7 linked regions of the Ovis aries genome follow. The protein of the gene in region 6 purifies or fractionates together with the protein of the main gene of each other region. This does not show direct contact. Links are inferred from orthologs where the notes say so. Each region holds a gene or a part of one and is shown on either strand. Other genes may lie near its edges. The genes, in order: ATP1A1, CDC37, SLC39A7, LRPPRC, ACSL3, ERBB2 and TFRC.

What was found.
Region 1: the proteins of ERBB2 (region 6) and ATP1A1 purify together in Homo sapiens (affinity purification with mass spectrometry; 4 studies listed by BioGRID and IntAct, with this or other methods). This does not show direct contact. The link is inferred for Ovis aries from reciprocal best matches to the Homo sapiens genes ERBB2 and ATP1A1.
Region 2: the proteins of ERBB2 (region 6) and CDC37 purify together in Homo sapiens (affinity purification with mass spectrometry; 3 studies listed by BioGRID and IntAct, with this or other methods). This does not show direct contact. The link is inferred for Ovis aries from reciprocal best matches to the Homo sapiens genes ERBB2 and CDC37.
Region 3: the proteins of ERBB2 (region 6) and SLC39A7 purify together in Homo sapiens (affinity purification with mass spectrometry; 3 studies listed by BioGRID and IntAct, with this or other methods). This does not show direct contact. The link is inferred for Ovis aries from reciprocal best matches to the Homo sapiens genes ERBB2 and SLC39A7.
Region 4: the proteins of ERBB2 (region 6) and LRPPRC purify together in Homo sapiens (affinity purification with mass spectrometry; 3 studies listed by BioGRID and IntAct, with this or other methods). This does not show direct contact. The link is inferred for Ovis aries from reciprocal best matches to the Homo sapiens genes ERBB2 and LRPPRC.
Region 5: the proteins of ERBB2 (region 6) and ACSL3 purify together in Homo sapiens (affinity purification with mass spectrometry; 3 studies listed by BioGRID and IntAct, with this or other methods). This does not show direct contact. The link is inferred for Ovis aries from reciprocal best matches to the Homo sapiens genes ERBB2 and ACSL3.
Region 7: the proteins of ERBB2 (region 6) and TFRC purify together in Homo sapiens (affinity purification with mass spectrometry; 3 studies listed by BioGRID and IntAct, with this or other methods). This does not show direct contact. The link is inferred for Ovis aries from reciprocal best matches to the Homo sapiens genes ERBB2 and TFRC.

The regions. Positions count from the first base shown.
Region 1 is NC_056054.1:93,737,746-93,741,245, reverse strand, and holds part of ATP1A1 (sodium/potassium-transporting ATPase subunit alpha-1), read right to left. Parts: intron 2,917-3,500; coding exon 2,724-2,916; intron 531-2,723; coding exon 355-530; intron 1-354. UniProt on the Homo sapiens protein: This is the catalytic component of the active enzyme, which catalyzes the hydrolysis of ATP coupled with the exchange of sodium and potassium ions across the plasma membrane.
Region 2 is NC_056058.1:12,789,711-12,793,785, forward strand, and holds the start of CDC37 (hsp90 co-chaperone Cdc37), read right to left. Parts: upstream 2,801-4,075; 5' UTR 2,706-2,800; coding exon 2,604-2,705; intron 1-2,603. UniProt on the Homo sapiens protein: Co-chaperone that binds to numerous kinases and promotes their interaction with the Hsp90 complex, resulting in stabilization and promotion of their activity. Inhibits HSP90AA1 ATPase activity.
Region 3 is NC_056073.1:7,539,829-7,544,094, forward strand, and holds the start of SLC39A7 (zinc transporter SLC39A7), read left to right. Parts: upstream 1-1,466; 5' UTR 1,467-1,515; intron 1,516-1,818; 5' UTR 1,819-1,822; coding exon 1,823-2,233; exon of another isoform or gene 2,234-2,322; coding exon 2,323-2,491; exon of another isoform or gene 2,492-2,648; coding exon 2,649-2,702; exon of another isoform or gene 2,703-2,835; coding exon 2,836-3,000; exon of another isoform or gene 3,001-3,151; coding exon 3,152-3,292; exon of another isoform or gene 3,293-3,498; coding exon 3,499-3,695; exon of another isoform or gene 3,696-4,266. Other genes in the region: RXRB (retinoic acid receptor RXR-beta), read right to left, coding at 1-159, 820-1,051. UniProt on the Homo sapiens protein: Transports Zn(2+) from the endoplasmic reticulum (ER)/Golgi apparatus to the cytosol, playing an essential role in the regulation of cytosolic zinc levels.
Region 4 is NC_056056.1:80,399,231-80,402,730, reverse strand, and holds part of LRPPRC (leucine-rich PPR motif-containing protein, mitochondrial), read right to left. Parts: intron 3,184-3,500; coding exon 3,099-3,183; intron 860-3,098; coding exon 717-859; intron 1-716. UniProt on the Homo sapiens protein: May play a role in RNA metabolism in both nuclei and mitochondria. In the nucleus binds to HNRPA1-associated poly(A) mRNAs and is part of nmRNP complexes at late stages of mRNA maturation which are possibly associated with nuclear mRNA export.
Region 5 is NC_056055.1:225,030,297-225,034,384, reverse strand, and holds the start of ACSL3 (fatty acid CoA ligase Acsl3), read right to left. Parts: upstream 2,801-4,088; 5' UTR 2,580-2,800; intron 1-2,579. UniProt on the Homo sapiens protein: Acyl-CoA synthetases (ACSL) activates long-chain fatty acids for both synthesis of cellular lipids, and degradation via beta-oxidation.
Region 6 is NC_056064.1:39,822,576-39,826,075, reverse strand, and holds part of ERBB2 (receptor tyrosine-protein kinase erbB-2), read right to left. Parts: intron 2,946-3,500; coding exon 2,794-2,945; intron 1,691-2,793; coding exon 1,477-1,690; intron 737-1,476; coding exon 602-736; intron 317-601; coding exon 248-316; intron 82-247; coding exon 1-81. UniProt on the Homo sapiens protein: Protein tyrosine kinase that is part of several cell surface receptor complexes, but that apparently needs a coreceptor for ligand binding. Essential component of a neuregulin-receptor complex, although neuregulins do not interact with it alone.
Region 7 is NC_056054.1:191,487,526-191,491,394, forward strand, and holds the end of TFRC (transferrin receptor protein 1), read right to left. Parts: intron 3,518-3,869; coding exon 3,275-3,517; 3' UTR 501-3,274; downstream 1-500. UniProt on the Homo sapiens protein: Cellular uptake of iron occurs via receptor-mediated endocytosis of ligand-occupied transferrin receptor into specialized endosomes. Endosomal acidification leads to iron release.

The sequences.
Region 1 (3,500 bases), on a different chromosome or scaffold from region 6:
CAACTATCTGAAAACACAAGACAGGCATTCACTGCATGATGAGTACTAATTTAGAATAAGGCAAATATTTCAAAATTTAAAACCTTACCAAGTCTTCAGCACTTTTTAATTTGCTCAGTTACATTTCTCTTAAAGGTTTTTTTTTTTTTTTTTTTAACTTTTTGATCCCTCATCTGGGGCTTACACCGACATTTTAATACCATTTGGCTTTCTCCGGGGTAACTAAAAAGCTTTGGAGATGAAAAATCGATCCTCCAGGTGAGAAACACCAGCGATCACATGGACCCTGAGGGGCACTAAGGAGGGTGCCCAGAACTGCTAAGAGGTGATGCCACGGTGGGGTGGGGGCAGTACCTTGATTCCAGCACTTCGGCATTTGCCCACAGCATCTGGGACAGCAGCCCGTGGTGGGTCAATCATGGAGATGAGCCCCACGAAGCAGAGATTATCAACAGGGAAGTTCACATCGTCGGTGTCAAACTGGAAGCCTTCAGGAAACTGCTCATCTGGCAGCATCAAGTGGCAGAAACCTGCAGGAGGGCAGGGAGTCTGTGAGGACTTCCGGTGATAGAGGAAGCTGCAGGATACCAGCTTGTTGTGCAGCAGTTTGTTAGTTTGGAAAGCTTTTTTAAAATTCTACTTTTATAACCAAATGAGTTTCACTGAACATTTATGAATGATACGGAGTCCTTGGAAACCACGCTATACAGACAGAATCCATTACCAAGCCTCAGAGGATGAGGCTCTGTTTAATGTGGAGAAATGGGAGTCTGAGCACCATGGTTTCAGTCCCAAATTGGGAAAGGAGTAGGTCAAGGTTGTATATTGTCAACCTGCTTATTTAACTTATACGCAGAGTACATTGTGAGAAATGCCGGGCTGGATGAAGCACAAACTGGAATTAAGATTGTTGGGAGAAATATCAATAACCTCAGATACACAGATGGCACCGCCCTTATGGCAGAAAGCGAAGAGGAACTAAGGAGCCTCTTGATGAGTGTGAAAGAGGAAAGTGGAAAAGGTGACTTAAAACTCAACATTCAAAAACTAAGATCATGGCATCCAGTCCCACTACTTCATGACAAATAGATGGGGAAACAATGGAAACAGTGACAGACTTTATTTTGGGGGCTCCAAAATCACTGCAGATGGTGACTGCAGCCATGAAATTAAAAGAGCCTTGCTCCTTGGAAGAAAAGCTATGACAAACCTACACAGCATATTAAAAAGCACAGACATTACTTTACTGACAAAGGTCCATATAGTCAAAGCTATGATTTTTCCATCATGCACAGATGTGAGAGCTGGACTATAAAGAAGGCTGAGTGCCAAAGAATTGATGCTTTTGAACTGTGGTGCTGGACAAGACTCTTGAGAGTCCCCTGGACAGCAAGGAGAGCCAACCAGTCCATCTGAAAGGAAATCAGTGCTAAATATTCATTGGAAGAACTGACGCTGAAGCTGAAGCTCCAATACTTTGGCCACCTGATGTGAAGAACTGACTCACTGGAAGAGCCTGATGCTGGGAAAGACTGAAGGCGGGAGGAGAAGGGGACGACAGAGGATGAAATGGTTGGATGGCATGACCGACTCGATGGACAGGAGTTAGAGCAAGCTCCAGGAGTTGGTGATGGGCAGGGAAGCCTAGAGTGCTGCAGTCCATGGGGTCGCAGAGTCAGACATGACTGAGCAATTGAATGGAAGTGAACTGAGACCCGCCCCCTCATTTACTTGGACTTTGGCACATGATGTGATTACTTGTCTCTCCTCTCCTCTCTGGATAAAAAAACCAAGGCCATGGGTCTACTCACTGTTCATCTAACCAAAACATACACTGCTGAGCAGCTGTGTAGAAGAAAGAGGCCAAGCTTCCAGGATAAATGCAGATCAGACACACTCTGCCCAAGGGGTTCATCATCTAGTACTGTTGTTAATACAAGAATTGTGATACTCAAGACATTTCTTTCGATGTTGTGTGGAGGTTACAACGTCCTTTAAAGTTATATCAGGTGCTTTGTGGACTCATAGGAGAGACTGCTTCTACTGTGGGGTGGTGGAGGTGCAGAAACAGAAAAAAAAAAACAAACCCACACTTAAGAATGACCTTTCAGTTGAATAGAGACCTAAGATACCTCAAGTTAGACTGAAGAGCAGGTAAGAACAAGAGTATGGGGACCAGGTAATCAGTTCTATCTAAGTTACTCAACTAAGGAGAACAGAGGAATTACATTCATTTTTTTATCTGTACAAAAGATGACAGATGCTACTTTCCCTATGACACACTGGGTGAACGTGCTTCTTGTCCGCAGTGGCTGACACAGAACAGGTGGCATCTGAGGCTCCAAGTTCACCATTCACCTAATCTGGGAGCTGGTAACACAAGTGCCCAGGTAAATTCACAGCCATTCTGTGGCAGCCGGGAAGCGGCTTTATTCTAGATACCCTAGGAATGAATGAATTTTCATTTCATGAAGCCTACAGATCACGGACATAGCAGCAAAAGCCAGACAACAACTCTCTTCCCCTCCTTTTCTGAGCAAACAGAACTGACCAGCTTGAGACCAAAGGTCTAAGTCAGAATCAGAGGCAAACCGGCAGGATTTTGTTGCCCGGTGTCTGCCGTGTTTATGGTTTTCAAAACAAAGGGGGCAAATAAAGGGAAGTTAACGAGAAGCAGAGGTTAACGCGGTGACTTGCAATTGTTTCCCAGACAGTCAGCGTACCCAGCACACGTTCTCCCAGGCCACCCAGCTCCAGGTAGGCATTCTGAAAGGCGTCCTTCAGCTCCTCGTCCAGGGGCTGCTCCTTGCCATGGATGAGGATGGAGCTGCAGCGATCCAGGATCCTCTCCGGAGCACCTTTCATCACCAGTAGGTGCCGGGGCTCACCTGCATTGGCATTCTTGTGGATGGATAACTGTAAAGAATGGTAAGCATGCAAACGTTAGACAGCTGGGCCTGACAGCCCAGGGAGGGAGTTTTGTTTTGCTTTTTTTTTCCTGTGGCTGTGACATGTGGCTTGTGGGATCTTAGTCCCTGACTAGGGATTGAACCCAGACCCTTGGCAGTGAAAGTACATCCTAACCAGTGGAGCACTAGGTAAGTTCCTAATAATTGTTCTGAAAGATACAAGATCCCTTATTTCTGAATTTAGTGTATTACACCCTGTAGCACACTTTGAATGCTACAAAGGAAATGAGTGTGGCAAGGTGCTCATGCATCCCTGACACATGTTCATGTACACAATTTTCCCAAAGAAAATCCAAACAGGGACTGGCAGACTCATGCGCACCTGCAGCCCTGCCCAGCCCTCTCCCCCATCCCCACACCCACTCCAGCCCACAAAGGAGAACTCCAAAGGGCCTGGACAACACGCTAGAAAGAAGAGGCTCCATTTATCCTACTAATGTTCAAATAAATTAGAATTTTCTACACGGACACAGATGTCAAATTCAAGCACTCATAAAGAGTGTGACTAATTTGTTTTTAGAAAGCATTTAA
Region 2 (4,075 bases), on a different chromosome or scaffold from region 6:
TCGGGGAACTATTAATAGATTCCACATGCTGCAACTAAAGATCCAGCACACTATAACTAAGACCCTGTGCGGTCAAATTAATTAAAAAAAAAAAAAAAAAAAAACCCTCACTGGATCACAGCAAGTCAGTGATATGCAGAAGGAGCAGGATATGAACCCAGTCGGGCAGGCCTGCGCTCACAAGGGTACCAGGCTACCTTTTGGCTAATCCCCTCTTCCACTCTTGGTATTGCTTACTCTTTCCTCCCAGGCGCCGAGCCAAGTTCTTTCAAGATCTAATCTCATTTCATTTTCACGACAGTCTCATGGAGGCGGAGGGCTCGCTCCCCCAAAGCAGTGATGGTCCTGTGGCAGGGCTGGAGCCCAGGCTGCCAGTCACTGGCAGCTGAACCTCGTGCTGGAGACACCAGGCTCCCTGCCTCCACTCATCTCCACGACAGCCCTGGGTCCTCAGCGGTTGGACAGGGAAAGGTTTTGCGCCAGGAGGGAGTAGGGCGTGGTGAGAGGAGGATGCTGTATGAGAGCGGGCATGGCCTCCCAAACCAGCAGGACCAAACCTGGTGATAGAGATCAACTTCGTGACAAGAATAGGTGTTCCCGAGAATGAGCTTTAAAGCTTTGCGGAGAGCTTCAATATTTCATCATAAAATGTCACATATGGCAAGAGAGAAATACTAGAACTTTCTTTTTCCACTCCAGTGGCTTTCCCACCAGGTACACTAGCCAGGTGAAAGGGTTAGTCGCTTAATCGTATCCGACTCTTTGCAACCCCATGGACTGTAGTCCACCAGGCTTCTCTGTCCATGGGATTCTCCCTCCAGGCAAGAATACTGGAGTGGTCACTATTCCCTACTCCAGGAGATATTCCCCACCCAGGGATTGAAGCTGGGTCTCCTGCACCGCAGGCAGATTCTTTACCATCTGAGCCACCAGGGAAGCCCTAGCCAGGAGGCTGCTGCTTTAAGTAATGGGTTGGACCCAGAACTGGGACTAGATGTAGGCACGGATACTGTGTCTCAGCAGGATGAGGAAGGGCGCTTCTAGGTGTTTCTGGATAAACAACTGCAAGCTGATACATGGGAAGACAGAATGAGGTTTTCCTAACTGGAAAGTTCTAGAAGGTATATTCCATAAGTGTGAGAGCAAAGCAGCCCCTGGAATGTGGGTGTAGGAGCTCTGAGTTGGTGGAGCAAGAAGTTAGCACACAAGGTCTCAGGAGAGCCATTCTGTTGGTCTGTGAGCACAGCTGAGCGGCTGCGGGGGTGGGGGGGGGGGTTGCAGGTTGTCGAAAGAACATACAGACTTGGGATTCTGGGGGTCTGTATTTGGGGGAAAATAGATAAAAGAAGGGGCGGTGAATCTGGAATCAGGATGGGTGGGTTCCTTGTAACAGCAGGGTCATTGTGGATGTCTGAGAATAGCACACCAAGTTTGGGTCAGAAGGGAGATGGGATGGATTTGGGTCCTGGACTTGGGTTTGAATGTGGCATTCTGAAGCTGGCAAAGGTTCCCACTGGAAGTCTGTCTTGGGGGTGGGCGGGGACTGGGTGTGAGGTACCAAGGAGGGGCAGGGGTTCTGGCTGGGCAGGAAGCCACGTGGGTAGGGTTTCCTGATGTAATGGGAAATTGGGTCTAACAGTACCAGAGGCTAAAGAAGAGCCTCCGGAATTGGAGGCTCCATCAGGGTGGAGGTGGTGGTTCATTCTGAACAGGACCCAAGTTTCAAAATTCCAGGCCTAGATGAGACTGAGGGCCTTGGGGGGAGGGGGTACCAATCTTTGTTCTAGGGGAGGGGTCCTGGGTGTGGGTTGGAGTCCCAAGCCAGGAACAGAAATCTCAGGGGAAGACAGAATTATTTTATTCAGAGGAGTAAGACTTCTGGATCTGAACCATAAGGATCCAGAAAAGCAGGTCGCAGAACAGACTTAAACTATTGGGAACTCTAGGGTTTTGGAGGACTTCCAGACGGGGCCAGTGGTAAAGAGCCTGCCTGCCAATGCAGGAGACATAAAAGATCCCTGGATCGAGAAGATCCCATGGAAAAGGAAATGCCAACCGACTCCAGTATTCTTGCCTGGAGAATCGCACGGACAGAGAAGCCTGGCGGGCTACAGTCCATGGGGTCACAGAGTTGGACACGACTGAAGCGACTGAGCACAGGGGTTAGGAGGAGCCATGGAACAGCCAAGATCTTAACTGGGTACCCGACTAGGTTCAGGATCCAGATTCTGAGGTAGAAATCTGGGTGTAAATGGAAGATCCCAAGCAGGATTGGGAGGCACGTCAAAAGCTTGTCTTGGCAGTCTAAATTCTAAAAATATACCGTACAGGTCAACCTGGCGTTTCAAGAAGAAACTGGAAGCGCGGGGCGGTGGGGGTGGGGGGGGGGGGGCGGCGCCGGCATCGCGGGCAAGGAACTCAGGGGTCCCGGCAATTCTATGGCCCCGGAATTGAATCGAAGAACCCTAGGCTATTCGGAAAGTCCAGGCTGTAGGGGGCAATCCCAGGTATCAATGGCTGGGGCCCCCCGGCAGTATCAGGGGGTCAGAACTCTGAAGCGGAGTCCCGGGAGTGGGGGAAGGGGCTGGGCGCGCGAGCTCTACCTGGTGCCGCCAGCGGAAGAGGCTAGCGGTGTCGATGTTGGGGTGCGTCTCGTCTTCATCATCAGACACCTCGATGTGGTCCCACACGCTGTAGTCCACCATCTTGCCTCGGGGCCCAGCCCTCCAGGGTTCTGGTAGCGGTGGCGGCGACGGCGGCGGCGGCAGCGGCAGCACTGAGACACAGCCCGCGGAGCCCCGCCCCTTCCGCTTCCGCCCTGACGCTTACACCCCTCCCTCGCGTGACGTCACATCCTTAGTAACCTCAGCAGCGGCACTGGCGACCAAGTTCTTAAAGAGCCCTGCGCACGTGTTCCGGCTCTCGGGAGTCCGCTGAGACCTCACCCCATCCGGCTTCCGGCCTCCACTAGGCCCTTCCTGGGGAATTACGGGTGGGTTCTCCAACCTCGAGCCCCCCTCATCTCCCGCTACCCCACGGTGGGCGTTTACGGCAGCCTTGGGAGAGGGGGCAGTTGGCGAGACTGAAAAAGAGGATTGTCCTCTTAGCCACGCCACAGTGACGTCAGCCTGAGCCCACTACTGGGGCTCGGCCTCGGCGAAAAGACCTCGCTCCCGTCTTTTGTGAAGAGGGACTTAACTTTGTCCTGGAGATGGTGCCTGATGGGAAAGGACCTTCCCAGTACAAGGGGTACAAGGCCCTGCTCTAGGAGGGTCTAAGTGAAGGAAGGTTGTGGCCCTGCCCTCGAGGAGTCGAGATGGGGGCGATGTGGCCCTGCCTTGAGACCTGGTGTTTCCCTGGCTCGGACCACAGCTTCCCCTCTTGCCTCCCCCATCTTCTGCCACTCCTTAGCGGGGATTCGCGCATACACGCCCCCTCTGGAATCACCCGACCGCACTTAACGGGCCTCATTAGCTTGTCTACGGCGGCTCCCCATGCATCCGCTGGGTGTCGCTAGTGTCTAACTAGCGGCCAGTGCGGGTGCCCCGCGCCAGGTGGGGGAGGGGTGGAAGAGCTTGGAAGTGCGCACGCAGGGGGTCTTTCTCCGTCGAGGTACTCTGGGACTCCTCGCAGTCCCTCCCTCTTTCGTCTGGGATCCCCTTCCTCGTTCCAGACTCTAAGAACTCTATTACACTGAGCTTGGGCGACCGCAGCCACACATTTTCATGTATCCCTACCCACGCTTTGATACCGGGATAAAAGGCTGCGTTGCAGCCTAGGGCCAGGATTATCTCAGATTAAAGGGCGCAGGGCGGGGGACAGGGAGAATGGGTAGAGATTCAGCCACTTGAGTGAAGGGCGCCTCTTCCAGACTCCCCCCAACCAAGCAGGCGTTTGGGGGGGCGCTGGAGAGGAAGGAGTAAAGGTCTTTAAATGGGTGGGGTGTGGGGGATTCCCCGGCCCCGGGAAGGGGTGGGGCCATCCGGACAAAAGCGCCCGCCCGCCGCTGCCCCTCCCCCTCACGGTCCATTCAAACCCGCGAGTAGGCGGGCGGGGGCGGGGGAGTCCCCCTTTC
Region 3 (4,266 bases), on a different chromosome or scaffold from region 6:
GGGAGCCCAGTGGTGGGGGTGGCATCGAGGGTGGGGGTGGAGCCCCAGAACCTCCAAGGGACGCAGCTGCTGAAGGGGGTAAGGGTGGTCCGGGAGGAGAAGGGGGAGCGGCCCCCTGGGGAAGGGGATTTGGGGAGGAACTGTCTGGGCTCCGCGAGTCTGGGGGGGGTGGTGAGGGAGGGTACACACAGGCACAGACACACAGAGACAGGAGAGACAAAAAGAGAAAATGAGTCTTGGATCGCCCAACGGGAGACTTCCATTCTTTCTCTCTGATTTCCCCACCGCGCCCCCATTCCACCCGTTCCCAAGTCCAGAGGCAGCCTACTGCCAAACAAGGGCTGAACCCCTAATCGTGGTGGGAGGAGGGGGCTGATAAACAAGAGGAGAGCTGAGGGGAGGCAAGCTCCAAATAGTGAATTTGGCCACCCCAGGCCGGAGGCGTCTCGTGTGGGTGGGGCAGCACGTGGGGGGAACCCGCCAGCCTCTGCACTCCCAGCTCGCCGCCCGAACGTGCAGGGGAGAGAGACCCCGCCGAGGGCGCGGAACTCGCCTCCCAATGTCCAGGGTCCTCAGGCTCGAGGACCGGGGCCCTGCGCCGGGGACAGCGGGGCAGCCGGGCCTCCGGCGGCCGCCGCTGGGAGAGCGGAAGCGCCCCCTGGCCGCCCCGCCCCGGGGGCAGGGCACTGCGGCCCCCGGGAGGAGGGGACGCGTGTTTACAAACAAGGGGGCGGGGGCGCCCGGGAGAGCGCCCGGGAGGGGGAAGGGGCCGCCGGTGTCGGGGTCTCGGCGCCCGGGCCCGTCTGCGGGCTCACTCACCCCGCCCGCTGTCGCCCATCCCGTCCCGTCCAGCCTCCCCCGGCTCCGGCTCCGGGGCCTGCTGTCCTCCGGCCGCCGCCGCCGCCGCCGCCGCCGCGGGATCCAGCCAGGGCCGCCGCCGCCGCCACCGGGACGCGACCCCACAATGCATTTCTTTTCGCACCCCCACCGGCCCACACTGCCCTGCGGCATGCCGCTGGGGGAGGAAGGGCGGGCGCGCAGCCCAAGACATGACTCCCAGCTGAGTGTAGGGACGCCGAGCGGCACCAGGGGTTGCCGAGGACCGCTCGGGGGGACGAGCCGAGCACGAGGAAGCCCCAGAGGAAACGACTCTGGCTTCAACCGGGTCAAACTAAGCGCTTCGCCCGGCCCTGTACCAAAATGACAGCGCCAGTGTGGCAGCCATCTTGGTATAGACGGGAAGTCTTCGCGCTAGTTCCCGCCCCCTCGTCTAGTTGGAAACGGAGGAGGCGGTCTTCTCCAGCCTGTTAGCCAGTCTCGCCAGGCATCCCCTTAAATAACCTCCACGTCCGCGCATGCGCGCCAAGGCTGGTCCGCATCCCCGCCACCCGGAGTGCGGCCATATTGGTAAAGGTGCTGGGACCGAGGTAGAACGGGACTCCCAAGTTCTCGCGGGAGCTAGGGGCGGGACTGCCACGTCCGAGTAAACCGGGAAAGGAGAGGATCCCGGAGCCGGTGAGAATTCCCTGCTTTTCTCTACTGTCCTTTCCAGGCCCTTTTCCTCACCTTGCGGGTCATAGAGACGAGAGCCCAGAGAGTCCATAAAGTGGAGGATCGAAGCCTAGAGCGGAGTCCCGGGGGCCCTGTATCAGGGAAGGGGTTCGGGATAGAGTCTCGGGAACAATGTGGGTGGGGACAGAACGGAATGGGGGAGCGGCCCATAGAAGTGGACGGTGGGCGCGAACGGAGTAAAGCGGACCCCTCATGGGTGTAGAAGTGAGGGCCAAGTGGAGTCACTGTCTCTGTCCCTCTGGTCAGCGTGATGGCCAGAGGCCTGGGGGGCCCCCGCTGGGTGGCCGTGGGACTGCTGACCTGGGCGGCCTTGGGGCTGCTAGTGGCCGGACACGGGGGTCATGGAGACCTTTACGAAGACCTGCACGAGGACTTCCACGGCCACAGCCACAGGCACTCACATGAGGATTTCCACCACGGACACAGCCATGCCCATGGCCACGGCCACACTCACGAGAGCATCTGGCATGGGCATACCCACGCTCACGACCACGGACATGCACACGAGGATTTGCACCATGGCCATAGTCACGGCCACTCCCATGAGAGCCTCCACCACCGAGGACACGGACATGACCATGAGCACAGTCATGGAGGCTATGGGGAGTCTGGGGCTCTAGGCGTCAAGCAGGACCTGGACACTGTCACTCTCTGGGCCTATGTGAGTCCCCTGGGGATGGGGCAGAGGGAGGCTGATGCTGTATTGTTGGGAAACCCCACACCTCTTAACCCCTGACTCTCCCTCACCAGGCACTGGGGGCCACGGTGCTGATCTCTGCAGCTCCATTTTTCGTCCTCTTTCTTATCCCTGTGGAGTCAAACTCCGCTCGCCACCGCTCTTTGCTCCAGATCTTGCTGAGTTTTGCTTCTGGTGGGCTCTTGGGAGATGCTTTCCTGCACCTCATTCCTCATGCTTTGGGTAAGTGATCTTTAGCTTCTACCTCAAATCTTAATGAATTTTAGTCTTTGGGCAAGACTGTTCTTTCCCCTTTGTGACCCTTCACCTTCTAGTGTTCCTGCAAATACACACCCCTTGCTTGGTTCCCTCATCTGGCCTTTTCTCCCTCTTCTTCCAGAACCTCATTCTCACCACCCTCTGGAGCAGCCAGGACATGGACATTCCCACAGTGGTGAGGAAGGGGCGGGTGGAGACACGGGTTGGGGTGCTGGAGAAGGTCTATCTCTCCTGTTCTTCTCCTATGCGTGGGGAGGAAGAGTCCAGAATCCACATCTCCCTTAATGTCTCAATGCATCTATTCCCAGGCCAGGGCCCCATTCTCTCTGTAGGACTGTGGGTCCTCAGTGGAATTGTCGCCTTTCTTGTGGTGGAGAAATTTGTGAGACATGTAAAAGGAGGACATGGACACAGTCACGGACATGGACATGCTCATGGTCACACACATGAAAGTCATGAACATGGAAGACAGGGTGAGCCCAGGAACAATTTTTCTGAAAGCCACATTGCCTACCTTTGGATCTCCTCATTTGAAGGTTCTGAAGTGGGAGGAGACTAGCCTTGTGAGGATATATTGGCAGATCTTTGTTCTCCGCTTACACCAATTCCTTTTTTCACGTACAGAGCGTTCTTCGAAGGAGAAACAGAGCTCAGAGGAAGAAGAAAAGGAGGCAGGGGCATTGAGGAAGAGGAGAGGGGGGAGTACAAGGCCCAAAGATGGGCCAGTGAGACCTCAGAACGCTGAAGAGGAGAAAGCAGGGTCAGGTGAGAGCCAGGGTTCCATAGGCTTGGGCCAGAGACATAGTTGTGAATTGCTGGAAATAGCGCTGTGGGTGATGGCAGGTGTCTGGGAAATACTAGGGCTGGATATGAACTGGTCTCTCGGGGAGATGTGATAATGGTTGATCACGGCTGGGACTAGGGGTGATGAATGCCTCTAACTCTTTCATCTTCCCTTTCTCCTATAAAAGACCTACGTGTATCAGGGTACCTGAACTTGGCTGCAGACCTGGCACACAACTTCACGGATGGTCTAGCCATTGGTGCTTCATTTCGAGGGGGCCGGGGGCTGGGGATCCTGACCACAATGACTGTTCTGCTACATGAGGTGCCCCATGAAGTCGGAGACTTTGCCATCTTGGTCCAGTCTGGCTGCAGCAAAAAGCAGGTTGGTGATGGTGTACACCAAACATGGTTACCTCAAGCCCTTTACCCTCTGCTCACCTAGCCCCAAACCAGACTGCCACTCATGAGTTTGAAACAAATTGTACTACAGGCATACTTTGTTTTATTGTGTTTCTGTATTGCACTTAGCAGATACTGCATTTTTTACAAATTTGTAGCAACACTCTGTTGAGCAAGTCTTTTGATACCTTTCTTCCAACACTGTTTGTTTACTTCACATCTGAGTCACAGTTTGGTAGTTCTTGCAACATTTCAAGCATTTTCATTACTGTTACCTTGATCTGTGATCTTTGCTGTTACTATAGCAAAAAGATTGCAACTTGCTGAAGGCTTAGGTGATGGTTAGCCTTTTTTAATCGGTATTTTTTAATTAAGCTCTTACATTGTAGGTATAATGCTACTGCACACTTACAGGATAGTGTAAATATAACTTACATGCACTGGGAAGCTAAAAAATTCATGTGACTTGCTTTATTGTGATGGTCTGGGACTGAACTCACAGTATCTCTGAGGTATGCCTGTATTGGTGACAGTGGATCCTCTAGTAGTGAAAA
Region 4 (3,500 bases), on a different chromosome or scaffold from region 6:
GACGCGACTGAGTGGCAGCAGCAGCAGCAAAGGTTGCCTGAGGCAGGCAGGGGTGTGGGTTGGGGAGGATGAAAGTGGGTAAACCATGGGGAGACAATATACATACATATATATATATAGTTAATAATACTGTACTGCACATTCGACAGCAGCTAAGAGAGCAGATCTTGAAAGTTTTCACACGAAAAAATATTTGACTATGTATGGTGGCCAACATTAACTGGACTTACTGTGATGATCATTCTGCAGTATCTACATAAATCAAATTATTTTGTACACTTGAAATTAATATAATGCTATGTCAATTATACTTCAATTAAAAACCTTAGATAAAGAAATAAAAACCAACTTATTTAAAAATGGAAATGAACAAGTAATTAACAGTGACATAATATGCTTAGTTACTGAAATACAGGCCATTAAATCCTATTTCAAGTTGAAATGAAGAGAGAACTGCCCCAAGGACATTTGATAAATTCATACCTACAGCTGAAGGTCTGAGAGTGACCTTGTATTTTAAACCTAGGTATCAGAGGGCTGTTCTGCAGCAGCCAGACCCATAGCATATCTTTAGTTCCTGAAGCCCTCCCTGGAGGGTCCTTCACAGAGATCTAATCCTCATGTAATTAAGTATTCACCTTATTCTTCACACATTATTATGAAGCATACACAAATCTGTAGAGGTATTTCCCCCCTCTTAATTAAGAAACACTCACAGGAGGTTCAGTGAAAGGGACAGACTCTCCAGCATTCTTCAGCAAAACTGCGTAACGCTTTAGAAACAGATCATTCAATTTTACATTCTTTGCAGTCAAACTTTCATATAGTGCTTTAGCAGATGTGACATCATTGTCGAAGACTAGAAAAAAAGATATTAATCATAGATAAAGTCAACCTCTCTTCTTGTTTTTCCCAAACACTTAGCCATTCATCCATACCTGGATCCCTTCATCCTAAACGAAACCAATACTCAACTACCTTCAACAAAAAAAACCATACCCAGGATCTACAACCCAGTCTTCTTCCCCACACCTCTCACTCAGCATTACCCACTATGAAAGAGAAGGAAAACGGCAACACAGCTATTTAAAAGGCCCATGCTAGTTCAACTGACCAGACAGAAGTCTTCAATCACAGAGTAAGCACACGCCATTCAATCTTCTCTACAAAACCACACTTTGAAATCAGGCTAATTCAGTGACTTTTGTAATGAGGGGCATGTAAAATAAGTAATGTGGAAGTCTGTATCTACATCAAGATCAGCTACTAAGCTGCTAAACACCACCAGAAGACTTTCAATATATTCTCCTATTCTAAAATATGCAAGTGAGGCATATAGTTAGCTAGTGATCCCCCCAAATTTATATACATTACTAATATACATTAAAAAACTACATACATCTGTGTAACAAGCTACACTAATATTTCATGTAATTGGATGACGCAGCAGCCTAGGAGCTAAGTTCAGCTGGCTCTCTACTTGTGGCTGACATGCAAATATTTTTAAGTTCACTGTTGAAATTATACAGGCTCTGCTAAGAATTGTTAGTGATCTGACTCTTTGATCTTGCATTAGATTGTTAACATCTACCCTACATTGATGCTGAATAATTAACCCCAACTCTACCAGCACCAAGGTGAGCCTCCAGGAAGATGTGGGATGTTCAGGGATCAATCAAGGATCTCCCTAAAGGGACTGAGGATGACTGTACACCTCTCACTGAAGCTGAACAGATCTTTAGTTTGGGTGAAGCCAGTTTCCTCTGTGTGAATCCTTTGCTCCCTTCCCTAAGAGACCAAAGGCTTCTCCTTCCACTGCCAAGGGCTCAACCCAAGCTCTACCATCTTCTAGGGAGCTACTCCCAAAACACTCCTATCTTCTCTTTCCTTATTTCCTGATCTCCCTGCTCTTCTCCCTCCCAACTGTCACGCAATTCAGTAGGATAGCCATGCTGTTTTATACTACTTCATCTTACATACTACTAATACCTGCCAATTCTGCAAATGTAACCTTAAGAAAGTTTATGACTATAGCACTATTTCAAAATATATCATATTCCGCTCATAAGGGTAAAAAATGGAGAATTCTGATTGCTAAGTCTGGTGTCCTGCCAACAATCAAATCCACAAAGCAACTCTTTATTTACCCTGTGGCTCAAGTGAACAAATCAGCGGGTGTCAGATGGACAGCTGATCATAACTTACAAATGCTGACATTCATTTTAATTACTGAGGAAACTTTAAACTGGTTCCCTTTCACGTGTGGTCGCCTGGCAACCAGGGAAGAAAACTGCTTAAAAGACTACAATTTCAAAACTGTGACTTCAGGTAAAACCTTGGGGCCCACTTTTTAATGAAGGTGTTTGCTATTTCCAAGAGGAGGTCGGTAGGCCACTGAAGGAGCAAACAGGCAAGTGAAGTCTTAAACATATAGCCATTTTCAGGCGCCAGGCCCTTGGAGGGGCAGGACTGGTTCCCAGAATGTACACCCAAGTGGACTTCTAAGTCTTTCCAGGAAGCTGGATCGTAACTCAACAAAGCAGGGCCCCTCAGAAGATGCTCAGAGGTGGTTTACAGTAACATATAAGAATAATTTCAGATTTTTTTTTTTAAACACGGGGTTTCTTTTTTTTCTTTTTTGGCTGTGCTGGGTCTTTGCTGATGCATGGGCTTTTTTCTAGTTGTGGCGAGCAGAGGCTACTCTCCGGTGGTGGTGCACAAGCTTCTTGTTGCAGCGGCTTCCCATGTTGCAGAGCACGGGCCCTATGGCACACGGGCTTCAGCAGCTGCAGCTCCTGGGCTCTAGAGGGCAGGCCCAACAGTTGTGGCGCATAGGGTTAATCCCCATGGCATGTGGGGATCTTCCAGATCTGGGATCAAACCCATGCCTTCTGCATTGGCTGGCAAATCCTTTACCACTGAGCCACCAGGGAACTCCCTTAAATGTAGTTTTACAACATACCCCAAGGCTAAATAAATTATTTATACCGTAAGCAATTATCTGATATTTAGGATTACTGCTTTTGAGCTGAAGACTTGTTGACTATACTACAAATATTTAAATCACTTAAATAATGCAGTTACGTGAGACTTATTACCATAGCTTTTCATGAGGCAAGTGTATGCTTCTTCCTTGTCAATTAATTCAGGAATCAATTCTAACAAAGACTTCATAACTGGTGCCTAGGAAATTAAATATAGGTAACATCACCACAACTCAAAAGAACAGTGAAATATGACAGATATATGGACATTGTATCATAGAAATTAACAATAATACAGTAGAACTGCCTACTCAATTTAATGGACTATTCCCTTTTGTATCTCTTAGTATAGTCAGCCCCTCTGGAACCTGTGGGTTCCAAGTCTCTGGATTTAACCAACCCTGGACGAAAAATATTCAGGAAAAAAAAATTCTAGAAAGTCCAAAAATGCAAATGTTGAATTTTCTGGGTGCCAGCAAATAGAATTTACACTGTATTAGGTATTGTCAGTAATCT
Region 5 (4,088 bases), on a different chromosome or scaffold from region 6:
CGCAAAATGCCAGCTGGTATCATGGACTCAATCCTGGAATAGAAAAAAGGGCATTCATGGGAAAATTGGTGATATCTGAACATAGTTTATAATTTAGAGTATAGTATCAATATTAATCTTTTGTTTTGACACATGAACCAAGGTTATGTGACATGCTAATATTAGAGCAGGGGAGCTGGGTTATGGTATAGGGATTATGGTATATAGGAATATTCCCATATCTGCAACTTTTCTATAAATCTAAAATCACGCCCAAATTTAAAAGTTTTCTTTAATAGTACCCAGTCTAATCATCCAAGCACTTGTCACCCACCATTTAAAAAAAAAAAACCCTCCCTAGACTAGATTTCCATCTAAATCACAATAGTCTATATAATACTCATTCACAAATTCCTTCATTATACACATCATAATTTGTAATTATCTATTATTTGTATGATGACCTGTTTCATATTCTTTCCTCTATAAAGGCAAAAATGGCATCAATTATGTTCTCTGCTATATTCCCAGCACCTTACATGTTGCCTAACACAGAACAGGAATTAAAAGCTCTAAGTGAGCAATTAACTAAATAAGGAATTGTTAAACAGGACAGCAGAAGAGCACACAAGCAATGAGAAATGTGCTGGGACTTTGGGGGGCTCTGACTTCCCAAACCAGGCAGGGATTGATTTTCCCGATCCATCCTTCCTTCAAGAAGGACAACTTTAAATCATCCAGTGCACATAGCTCACAAACCCAGTACCTGAGACCCAAGGACACTAGATGACTTGTCACCCCAGCCCCGTACATCCAGTGTATATCTACGTACATCCAGCCCTACACCCAACACTGCCATCTTACTACAGAACCAACTCTTTTTACAGAAAAAGAATGAACTAGGAAAAGACTAAAAGGAAAATGCCAGTGACTGAAGAAGCCTTACTCATTCCTAAGTGTTAAGAACTGCACAAGAACACTCCAGAACACAAAACAACGGTCTATACAGTACACTCCCGTGTCGCCACACTTCTTCCCAGTAATAACCTTCTAACACACAATTTTAGGAGCAACTCAGCACCACCCCTCAACTCCTGAAACAAACCTGGGGAACCAGAAAAGGTTATCATCAAATGACTGCTCTCCTGGCCACTCAAACAAAACTCCACCGTGACAACTATTCAGCCAGCCACCAAAGAGAGGCAGCATAATATAACGCTTGGATAAGAGAGCTCTAGATTTTCAAACAGGCGGGTCTGATTACAGCTTCCCCTCTTACTCGCAGTCATCTGGGGGCAAGTTAATGTGTCCAAACAGCAGTTCTCTCCAGCTATAAAATGGGAATAACTACCACCTTAGAGAGTTGTTAACAGTTTTAGAGATACTATGCAGAAACTCTTCATAGGAAATCTGGAATGTTATAAAGGCTCAGTAAGTGTCAGCTGTTTGTCATCTTATTCCGCTAGTCAATTTCACAAGGCCTATTTCCTCTCAGCTGACAACATTCCAGGTTTCCTACGAAGAGTTTCTGCATAGTATGTTAACAACTCTCTAAGGAAGTGGTTATTCCCATTTTACAGGTGGAGAGAACTGCTGTTTGGACACGTTAACTTGCCCCCAAATCACGGCAAATGAGAAGCTGTGATTTTCTCTGCAATTCCTAGCTGACTCAGTGGTAAAGAATCCCGCTCGCCAATCAGGAGACAGGAGAGACGAGAGTTCGATCCCTCCGTCGCGAAGATACCCTGGAGGAAATGGCACCCCCCTCCAATGTTCTTGCCTGGAGAATCCCGTGGACAGAGGAGCCTGGTGGGCTACAGTCCATGGGGTCGCAGAGAGTCGGATACGACTTAGCGACTAAACAACAAAATACACAATAGCTTAGAGCACATTTTCCAAAGCCAGCCTGGACAAACCAGCTCAATGTTTCTGGGCCTCGGGCTCCCCATCTGTGAAACGGGCTGGATCATTCCTACCCCGCTCGAGTTGCTCGGAATTACCCATTCCATTACCAGTGCATAATTAAAATACACCTAGGGAAAGTAAACCAACTCCCAACCCCAAACGAATAGGATTCATCCCAGGCCCATCGCCTCCGATCGCGGCCAGAACAAATACCAAGGTCGACCCACCTCATACTCCTCAATCTCTCCTCACCGCCCGCAGCAACACACCCCCCGCCCGCCCCTCCAGCATGGGTTTCGGAAACCGCAGGGGTGTTTCCTCCCGAGGACCGCGTCAGAGCCCGGCTAGTGAAAGTGGCCAACCCCCAGCCCACCCCGCCCCCAAAGCGCCGGGAGGGAGCCCCGCGCATCCTTCCTCCCCCGGACAGCTCGGCCTGCGGTCCCCCCCCACCCCGGATTCGCGTGGGCTCTGAGGCCCCGAGCCCCACCTCAGCCGCTTCCCGGATCCCACGGCGGCACCCCTCACCCTCGCCGCGGAGTGGCCCGGTACGCCCGCACCGCCGGGCTAGGCGGCCACGTCGGGGATCCGGGGCCTCCAGGCCGGCCGCATCCTTCCCCCGGGCCAGGGTCGCCCTTGGGGCGCAGCCCTTCCGCACGCGGAGGCCCCACCATGACCACCACGGGAGCCGCACTCACCGCGACGCCGGGGCCCCGGTTCCTCGGGCCCACGCAGGCCTGGGTTGCGCCCCCAAAGCACTAGCGCCCTAGGCCGCCTCCTGGAGACCCTGACGCTGCCGCCGCGGTCGCACTGCGAGGAGACGGCCGTCTGCTACTCGGTCCGCCGCCACCGCCTCGTCCCAGCCCCGGCCGCGGCGACAGGCGCGGACTCGCACACCGGCGCCGGCAGACCAGCGTCTGTTGAGCCGAACCGCCCGGGACGCGCACCCCCGGCCGGCGCTCGTTGCATATGCAGAGAGGCCGCCGCCCATTGGCCCGCGGGCGGTGGCGCGTGCGGGGCTGGGCCTATCGAATTCCGGCCGGGAGCACGGCGGGCGGCCGGGGGCGGGGCGGGGTTACTACGGGTCATTCGCCCGAGCCGCGGCGGACGGGACCTAGCCGCAGCCTGCGCGGGGCGGGGGCCGGTCGGCGGGGAAGGACTGGACCGCGGCGGCGGGGGAGGGGAGCTGGACTGTGCGGCCGGGACGTAGGTGGAGGAGGAGCGGTCCGGCTCGGTCTGCGGGAGGGCCCTTCCCCTAGGGTTGGAAAGACCACCGCCTCGCCCCTCCCAAAAACTACAAGCGCAGATGTTGCTGTAATCTATAAATCTTAATATAGATCTGGAAAAAAGTGCGCCATTATCTTCCCTCTTAACTGGATTATGTGTTTCGTTCTTGCACAGATTTGTCAGATTTTGCAAAATAAAATGATTGGGGGAAATGTCTGAAGCGAGAGGGGCTCAGGAATTCAAAGCAGGTTTTTTATTCTTACTTTGGCTTCACCGAACCCAGCAAATAGCCCATCTCCCCTCGGTGCACTCACTCTATACGCATTGTAGGCAGACGCTTTACCGTCTGAGCTACCAGGAAAGTCATATACAAGATTGGTACTTGTTTTCTAAAGGATAAAGTTGACCCCACAGTACTGTTTCTGAGCTTCTTTTTATGAAGCTGAACGTGTTTCTGTATTTTGAAGAGCTTGCCATTATATTTCACTTTAGATAGTACGAACGGGGAAAAGAGTACAGGTAGACTTGCCTTCCTGCAAGCCAACAAAGCAAAACACAAATGACTAAAATAGCAACTACAATACACTATTAAAAAGATGGCTTTCGTTATGCAAGCTGTAGTGGGGTTGAGCTTTTTTTGTTTTTCTCTTTAATTCAACATATTATTTAGTGGTCTGTGAACGAAGTTGTAACTTTTAAGTCAGACTCGATTCCACAAGAAGTAAAACATTTGGAGGGTTTCATTTTGTTTTGAAGTAATGAAGGAGCTAGAAATAGCTACTTGAATAGTAAACCACCATGCGATGCAAAACTTATATTTAAAGTAGGTGAAAGGTGACGTGCATGAGCCAGCCTTGGGCAAAAGCAGGGGCTCGATTTCCCAAGGGAATCTCAAAATCTGTGAAGCCGCCTGAACTTGAGCTGTCTGGAGTGATGAGGGGAGGAGCAAAGAAAGCTCACGCATCTTGGGCCCCAAGCCA
Region 6 (3,500 bases):
CAGCGCACTGCTCGTGGCAGCAGTCGGTGGGCTGTGGGCCCTTACAGCGGGCACAGCCACTGGCACAGACGGTCCGCGTCACTGTCAAGGCGGGATGAGGGCTGGGCGGCAGTCTAGGCACCAGCCCCTCACCAGCACCACCTTCTGGGGAGACTTCCTGCCCCAGGGAAGAGGCCGAGGGCTGGCACAGCCCCTCCCGTGTCACTCAGCCCCCGCCCTCCAGGCCCTGGGCCGCCCTGTAACTCACAGCTCTGACAGTCCTCAGAACTTTCTCCCCAGCAGTTGGGAGCTTTACAAGCTGGAGAACAGGGTGCGCCTGGAGGAAGAAACAGAGAGGCAGTGAGAGAGACCGAGACCAGGACGTGAAATGCACAGTGAAGGGCAGACCCAGGCAGGAAAAGAGAACCTCAAAGCCAGAGGCATGATCTAGAAGCAGAGAAAAACAGGACAGAGACCCACAGAGATGAAGAGATGCAGAGAAAGGGGAGACGGGTGCTGTTAGTGCGGCAGCAGAGGGGCACAAGGAGTAAGCCAGGAGTCTGGGGTCGCTGGGCTGCGTGAAAAAGGGTGGCGGCTGCAGGCAGGGGGCAGCGAGGCTTACAGGCCCGTGAGCGGTTGGTGTCTATCTGCTTGAGGGGCAGCTGGTTGTTCTTGTGGAAGATATCCTCCCACAAAATCGTGTCCTGGTGGCAGAGCTGGGGGTTCCGCTGGATCAAGACCCCTCCCTTGAGGATCTCTGTGGGGTGGGCAATAATCAGGGGCTTCTTTCCCCATCTGGCATCTTATCTCCCCTGGGGCCTGCCTGCCTTCTAAAAGTGGAGCAGGCCTCTGAAACACACCCCAGGTTCCTCAGGGAGCAGAGAACACCCCTTCAGCATCTTTGAGCCTTGTCAATACCACCCACAAACAAAGATCCAGGGGGGAGTGACTTGCCCATGCCGCCGCCTCCTCTCCTCCACCTCTACTGTGTGCTCACGGCTTAGCAATTAAAAGAGTGTGAAACCCAGCCTCACCACCACTACCTAGCTGTGTGACTTATCCTCCATAAACCTGTTTCCTCATTTGTAAAATGAGAACATTGATGTTTCCCTTGCAGGATTATGGCAGGAGTGATGGGATTATGCATGCAAAGCACCGGGCACTCAGAGTCTGAAACACTGTCTGTTTCAGGGCTGCCACGTACAGTTACACAGGTTGTTCACTGTACATGTGCACTCAGCCAAGACGTGGGCAAAAATCCAGCCTGCATCCTAATCATCAAACTATGCGGGCTGGTGCAAGCTGTGACTTCCTGGGAAGAGGGGAAATCTTTTTGAATCTTCACAAGGGCGCCTTTCCTAGTTCCACCTGCATCCGTCCCCAGGACGCCAGTTCTGACAGGACCCCAGTTCTGACTCACAGTCACCCCTTGGCTAGTAGGGACCCCTGGCCAGCTCTCAGTAACCAGCAGAAAGTTTCAAGGATAAAGATGGTCACCTGTGAGGCTTCGCAGCTGCAGCTCCTGCAGCCCTCCTGAGGCCGTGCCCGCAGCAGGGGCAGCACCTTCCAGAAAGTCTCCATTGTCCAGCACGGCCAGGGCGTAGTGTTCCTCAAAGAGCTGAGTGCCTCGCACGATTCGCAGTCTCTGCAGTGGGACCTGACTCACTCGATTGTGAGCGATGAGCACATAGCCCTGCACCTCCTGGATTTCCTGGAAAAGGGACAGAGGAGGAGAGGGCTGAGGAAGGTCAGGCCCTGGACCACTACCATCCAACCCCCAAGACCTCCTCAAGGTCCCCTGTGCTTGGGGATCTTGGGCAAGGGCCCAGCTGCCAAGCAGTCTGCCCACCACCTCCCCAAACCAGGTTCTAGGACCAAATTCTAGTATGATCAAGAAAGAAAATGAGGGGGTGGGGGCAGCACTCTGTAAACTGTGGGCACCCCACCCTCTCTACACCTCAGCTGTTCCATCTGTAAAGGAAATGCCTGGACGTGATGATGTCTGGGATTCAATGGACTAAGTGTCGCACACCTGGCCCCACGCTGGGACACAACACAGAGGCTGGCTTCCACTCGCTCGCCTGTTCCTGACCCTTTCACATATATTTCCCACATGATATTCTAAATGGGCTCCCCAGGAGGAGTCCAAGTATGCCTATGGCTCCCAATGTAGTATTAGTCACTCAGTCGTGTCCAGTTCTTTGCAACCCCATGGACTGTAGCCCACCAGGCTCCTCTGTCCATGGGATTCTCCAGGCAGGAATACTGGAGTGGGTAGCCAATTCCTTCTCGAAGGGATCTTTCTGACCCAGAGATTGCATCCGGGTTTCCTGTACTGCGGGTGGATTCTTTACCATCTGAGCCACCAGAGAAGCACTCATGGCTCCCAATATACAGACAGGGAAACTGAGATCCAGTGAAGCCAGGGGCTAGACCACATTCACAGGGCTTGTCAATGGCAGAACTGGACTCAGAACCTGCCAGGGCTTTCATTACTCCAGATAGGAGGGGGACAGTGGCTGGGACAGTTGGACAAGGGAAGGTGATTGTGCTGGTGAGAGAGCAAAAAATATAGCCCAGGAATAGATGCATTCCACCCAGAGATGTCCACAGTCAGCCACGCTGTAGACAGAGAGTCAGCTGGTCTTAGTGTAGGACAGATGGGGTGAGACATCAGAAATGACTTCCCGGTTCAGGAGCCACAACGAAAGAGAAAATGTAAGGCGGGGAACCTTCTTCTACCACCCATCTGCAGGCAGAGGGCTCAGCCCAGCAGGAAGCAGGGCCTGGCTGGGTCTTGCCCATGGGCCTCACCTGTAGGAAGGAGAGGCTGGCATCAGCAGGCAGATAGGTGAGCTCCAGGTTACCCTGCACCACCTGACAGCCTTGGTAGAGGTGGCGTAGCATGTCCAGGTGGGTCTCGGGACTGGCTGGCAGCCGCAGCTTCATGTCTGTGCCGGTGCACACTGGCAGAACAGAGAAGATGGGTCAAAAGGCCTGCGCAGTGAGCTTCTCCAACCGGCCACGTGCAACAGCAAAAGAAAGTGTGCAAGTTTGGGAAAAGGAGGGAAATCAGAGAGGAGGTTCCCCCCGCCAACTTGCCCCATCCTGAGCATCCAGAGGGGGTCCCACTGGGCCAGCCTTAGGGAGCTTGCCCATTCAATCCAGGGTGTTGGCTGGCAAAGAAAGCCTTCTTTTGTCCCAAAGGCACGACTCAGGGCCAATGGGTAAAAATCCCCCAAGAGAGGCAATGATGAATCATGAATCCTCTGGATACCCCCTGCCCCTTTCCCGAGCAAACAATGCCACTCACATGCCAACCTCCTGGCAAGGCATACCCACCCCCGCAATGCCACCCAGAAAGTGGGGAAGGAGGGTCAGCTCGAGTCATAGTTGGGGCCTGGGGACCACCAGTGGCCTGGTCACTGCAGGGACTTCTGGGATTTCCCCAGGCAGAGCAAAGGAGTGTCAGATCCCAACTGGGTATCTGGACCCAAGCTGCAGACGCTGAGCCAGAGTGC
Region 7 (3,869 bases), on a different chromosome or scaffold from region 6:
AGCCAATCTGAAAAAGCTGCATTGAATGAACCGTATGATTCCCTAAGATGTAATGGAAAAACCTGAATGAACTTTTTGGCCAACCCAATACATGCCATTCTGGAAGAGGCAAAACTATGGAAACGCTAAAAATTATCAGTGGTTGCCAGAGGTTACTGGGAAGGGAAGCTGAAGAGGTAGAACAGGATACTAAGGGCAGTAACATTATCCTGTATTGTACTGTAACGGTAAATATATCATTATACATTTGTCCAAACCCATAGAATGTAAACCACCAAGAGTGAATCTTAATGTAAACTATGGACTTTGGAGGATAATGATGTGTCAAGATAGAGTCCCTGATTATAACAAATGTATTTGGTGGGGGTGGGGCACTCTCAGAGTATTGCTAATCAAAGAAACTGGGATGGGGATGGTGTGCAGGCAGGGAGTATATGGGAACTCTGTACTTTCCGCTCAGTTTTACTGGGAACCTAAGTGAAATCTAATAAAACGACAACTCAGTGTTCAAGCATTTTATTAAATCATTTGAGGAATCTCCACATTGTTGCACATACCAGATTGTATACAATTTTAAGGGCATATCACTTGTTCACAAACATACAGCTGAGCAGTAAACTGGCTAATACACTATTTTTAGTAAACTAAAATTTCAACAACATTCCAGAGGATACACAATAAAGGTCATGCAAGTTCTAGAATAGTGAATCATGACAAAGCTCCCTCATTTTATCCTTTTATCTTCAAAATACATGTGACATCTAAAACCGAAAAAATCTGACCAGCTGGTTGGCATTAGTCAGATATCCATTTCTTCCAGGAATATTAAGCCCCTTACCACATAATGACTTGTTTGATTGCAAATAACTTAATCCTAACTACAGAAAAATTTTCTGAAGAAATTTACTGCTGTAAAATGTATACCCGTTATTCATAATATGCCTTGAAGTCACTGAACTTTCATTAAAATGACAAAGCATGATACTCAAACCAGGAATCCCAACTCTGACCTTTTCACTTACACTAAGTATCAGTTCAAGATAAAACACTGGAAGACTGAAACAGACTGAATAGTCAAATCAGTGAGGCTATATTAATCTAGATCTATTTTAATTTACATAAATGACACTAAATTTAAGAATCTTAAGATTACCCTATGAATTTTTTTTTAGGTGACAGTATTGAACTGCCTTAGAACAAACAGCTGATTATCAGGTTTATAATAAAAATGAGTGAGTAGAAAAAAAAGTCCTAACTGATGTGGTCTCAAACTTACTTGTTCATGTCTACGTTTAACTTATAACCACCAAATACTGATGGTTGGGGAGACATGATCAAAGACCTTTTAGCAAACTTTACCTCCCTCAACCCTGCAGTTGCCCCTCCCCCCCAAACTCTGGTACAAGTTTCTACTGCTATAAGCTAAAAGGTTAATTCTGGATTCAAACTTGTGTGAACTACGTTTATAGGAGATAACATGCAAATAAGGGGATAAAGTTAAATTCACCTGGAAACAGCAAACATTATAAATGTATGCTACTATCCTGCCTAACAGAAGGCCTGGAGAGACCACAAATATAACAAAACACATTAGGTTTAAAAACAAAGAACCTTGAAGGAAGTAGTTTTATTTTACAGTGGTTGAAGTTAGCCACCAAATGCTAATGACCACAAAATGTTTCTGCAACTAAAACTAAAAGATAGAGAATTATAGGGAGCTGGGAATACATGTTAGATACTAACGATCTTCAAGCTTTGAAGATGTCATTGCATGAAGAAAATTATGGGAAACACTGTTCCCGATAATTACGTACACCCTTAGTGTAACATATGGAGATCACTGTCTCCGATACAGACACTGTGGTAGGCAAAAACTACCATGTTCTTTATACATTATGGAAGACACTGCTCCCGATAATGTGAGTTAGGTTTGTGAAAAGGTACTGGAAATTTTGCAAAATTCAAATTGAAGTTACATCTTAGAGAAATTGAACTGTAAAATTTTGCATGTATGAATACAACCACAGCTTTTAAGTGACATTAATTTATAACTTGGTCACAATTCACTGCATTTAGTAGAACTGCCAGTTTTATCTGGTTAGCTAAATAGAAGTTTAACTTGATTAGCAACCACTAATTAAATTTAATTCTCAAGACTGAGTTTTATAATTTTATTTGGCTTGCGGTTATTTTTTAACACCCTTAAGTGTTGACCACAAGTGCAAAACTTCCAGTATCTGTTGGGTTTTATTAGCAGATGCTGCTTTTATTAAAAAAAAAAAAACAAAACGACAGTATAACTGTCATAATTATGGAAGGCACTGCTTCCGATAATTATCTTCTATTAAAAAAAAACCCACCATTTATAGTGAACTCTGTCACTGATAAATAAACAATAAATATCTCAGTGCCAAAATGACAGGAAGCTTTTCCAAAAAATTAACACTTTGGCCAAAATTTGGCATTGTGTTCTCTAAAGTCTGATAAATTGAGTTTGAAATTAAACACCTAAAACCTGGTTCTCTTTCAAAATACCTTGGAATAAGTGAAAACAAAAAACTAACAAAGATTTATGGGACAAGGGATAGAGGAAAATAAAATATACTAGGTCTTTGGCTTTCTGGTCTCCTCTTTTCATAGATAATCTTGAGGTTGCCACATTAAGGCCTTACTCCTGTGACAAACAGTTGAACCTCGTTTTATGCAGCTGAAGGCCCTCTATTTCAGACCTCATTGGCAAGAAAACATGTCCCATCTCTTCTGAAAGTGAACTGTTCCACTTTCAGAGGTGGAAACCAGCTAAATCCTTACAGAAGGCAGAGACCCCACGTGGAGAGTAAAGCCTTACAGCCTGGTGTCTGTCTAGCATCAAATGAAGATGGAAGATCACTCTGAGCTACCTTCCTCCTCCAACTCAAAAGATAACCAGCTCACGTCCTTAGGATTTAGACCAACAGTTCACATAACTGGTTCTGACTTTTTCAGAACTATGACAGGAAAGAGGCAGTTACCATTACAAAGCACTAAAAAGTCTAGAGATAATCACAGAAAATATTCTACTGTGAACATTTTAAAAAATTATTCAATTTAACTAGAAATGCAAGTACCTACCCTGTATTAAAAGCTGCTGCCTAAAGACCAACATCTAATAGTACCAAGACTGGGTAGATTTTTAATATTAGTTTTTTAGCCCTACTGAAAATTTAGCATAACCAATATAAGTCTAGAAACCACACTACCCTGATGTTCTCGTATTAAGTTTTGGGTGTCACATTTAAAATTCGTTGTCAATGTCCCAGATGTCTCCAGAGAGGGCATTTGCAGCTCCCTGAATAGTCCAAGTTGCCAGAGCCAACTGGTTTTCCAACAGTGTTTGATTAAAAGCACCATTAAGTTTCTTACGCAGCTTCAAGTGCTCCAGTAAAGCTGACAGAGTGTGAGAGCCAGAGCCCCAGAAGATGTGTCGGAAAGGAAACTCTCTTGGAGACACATAGGGTGAGAGGAGGTGATATTCCACCTACGGAAACAAAACATAGACCTTACACAATGCTACAGCGTTTGCCGTGAGAAAACGACCTGATATAGTAAAACCACCATCATTCTCACTTGCATGTTTAAATTTCCCTGAATTTTAAGAATGTTGAGAACCAAGCTACTAATCTTCTAATGTCAATTCCTTTGTAAACTCTAACTGCACTGGGTTGTTTTTTGTTCCTTTTTTGGTTGGAGCCTCCATACGGAAGTTTCCACTACAATAAAACAGCTAAGGGCTGAATTAAACAGAAATACAGAGAAAATGACAGATGAAAATCATTACTGATCCTTTCTTTAAAATGATTTTAGAGCCTAAAAAAACTAATACTAGGTCA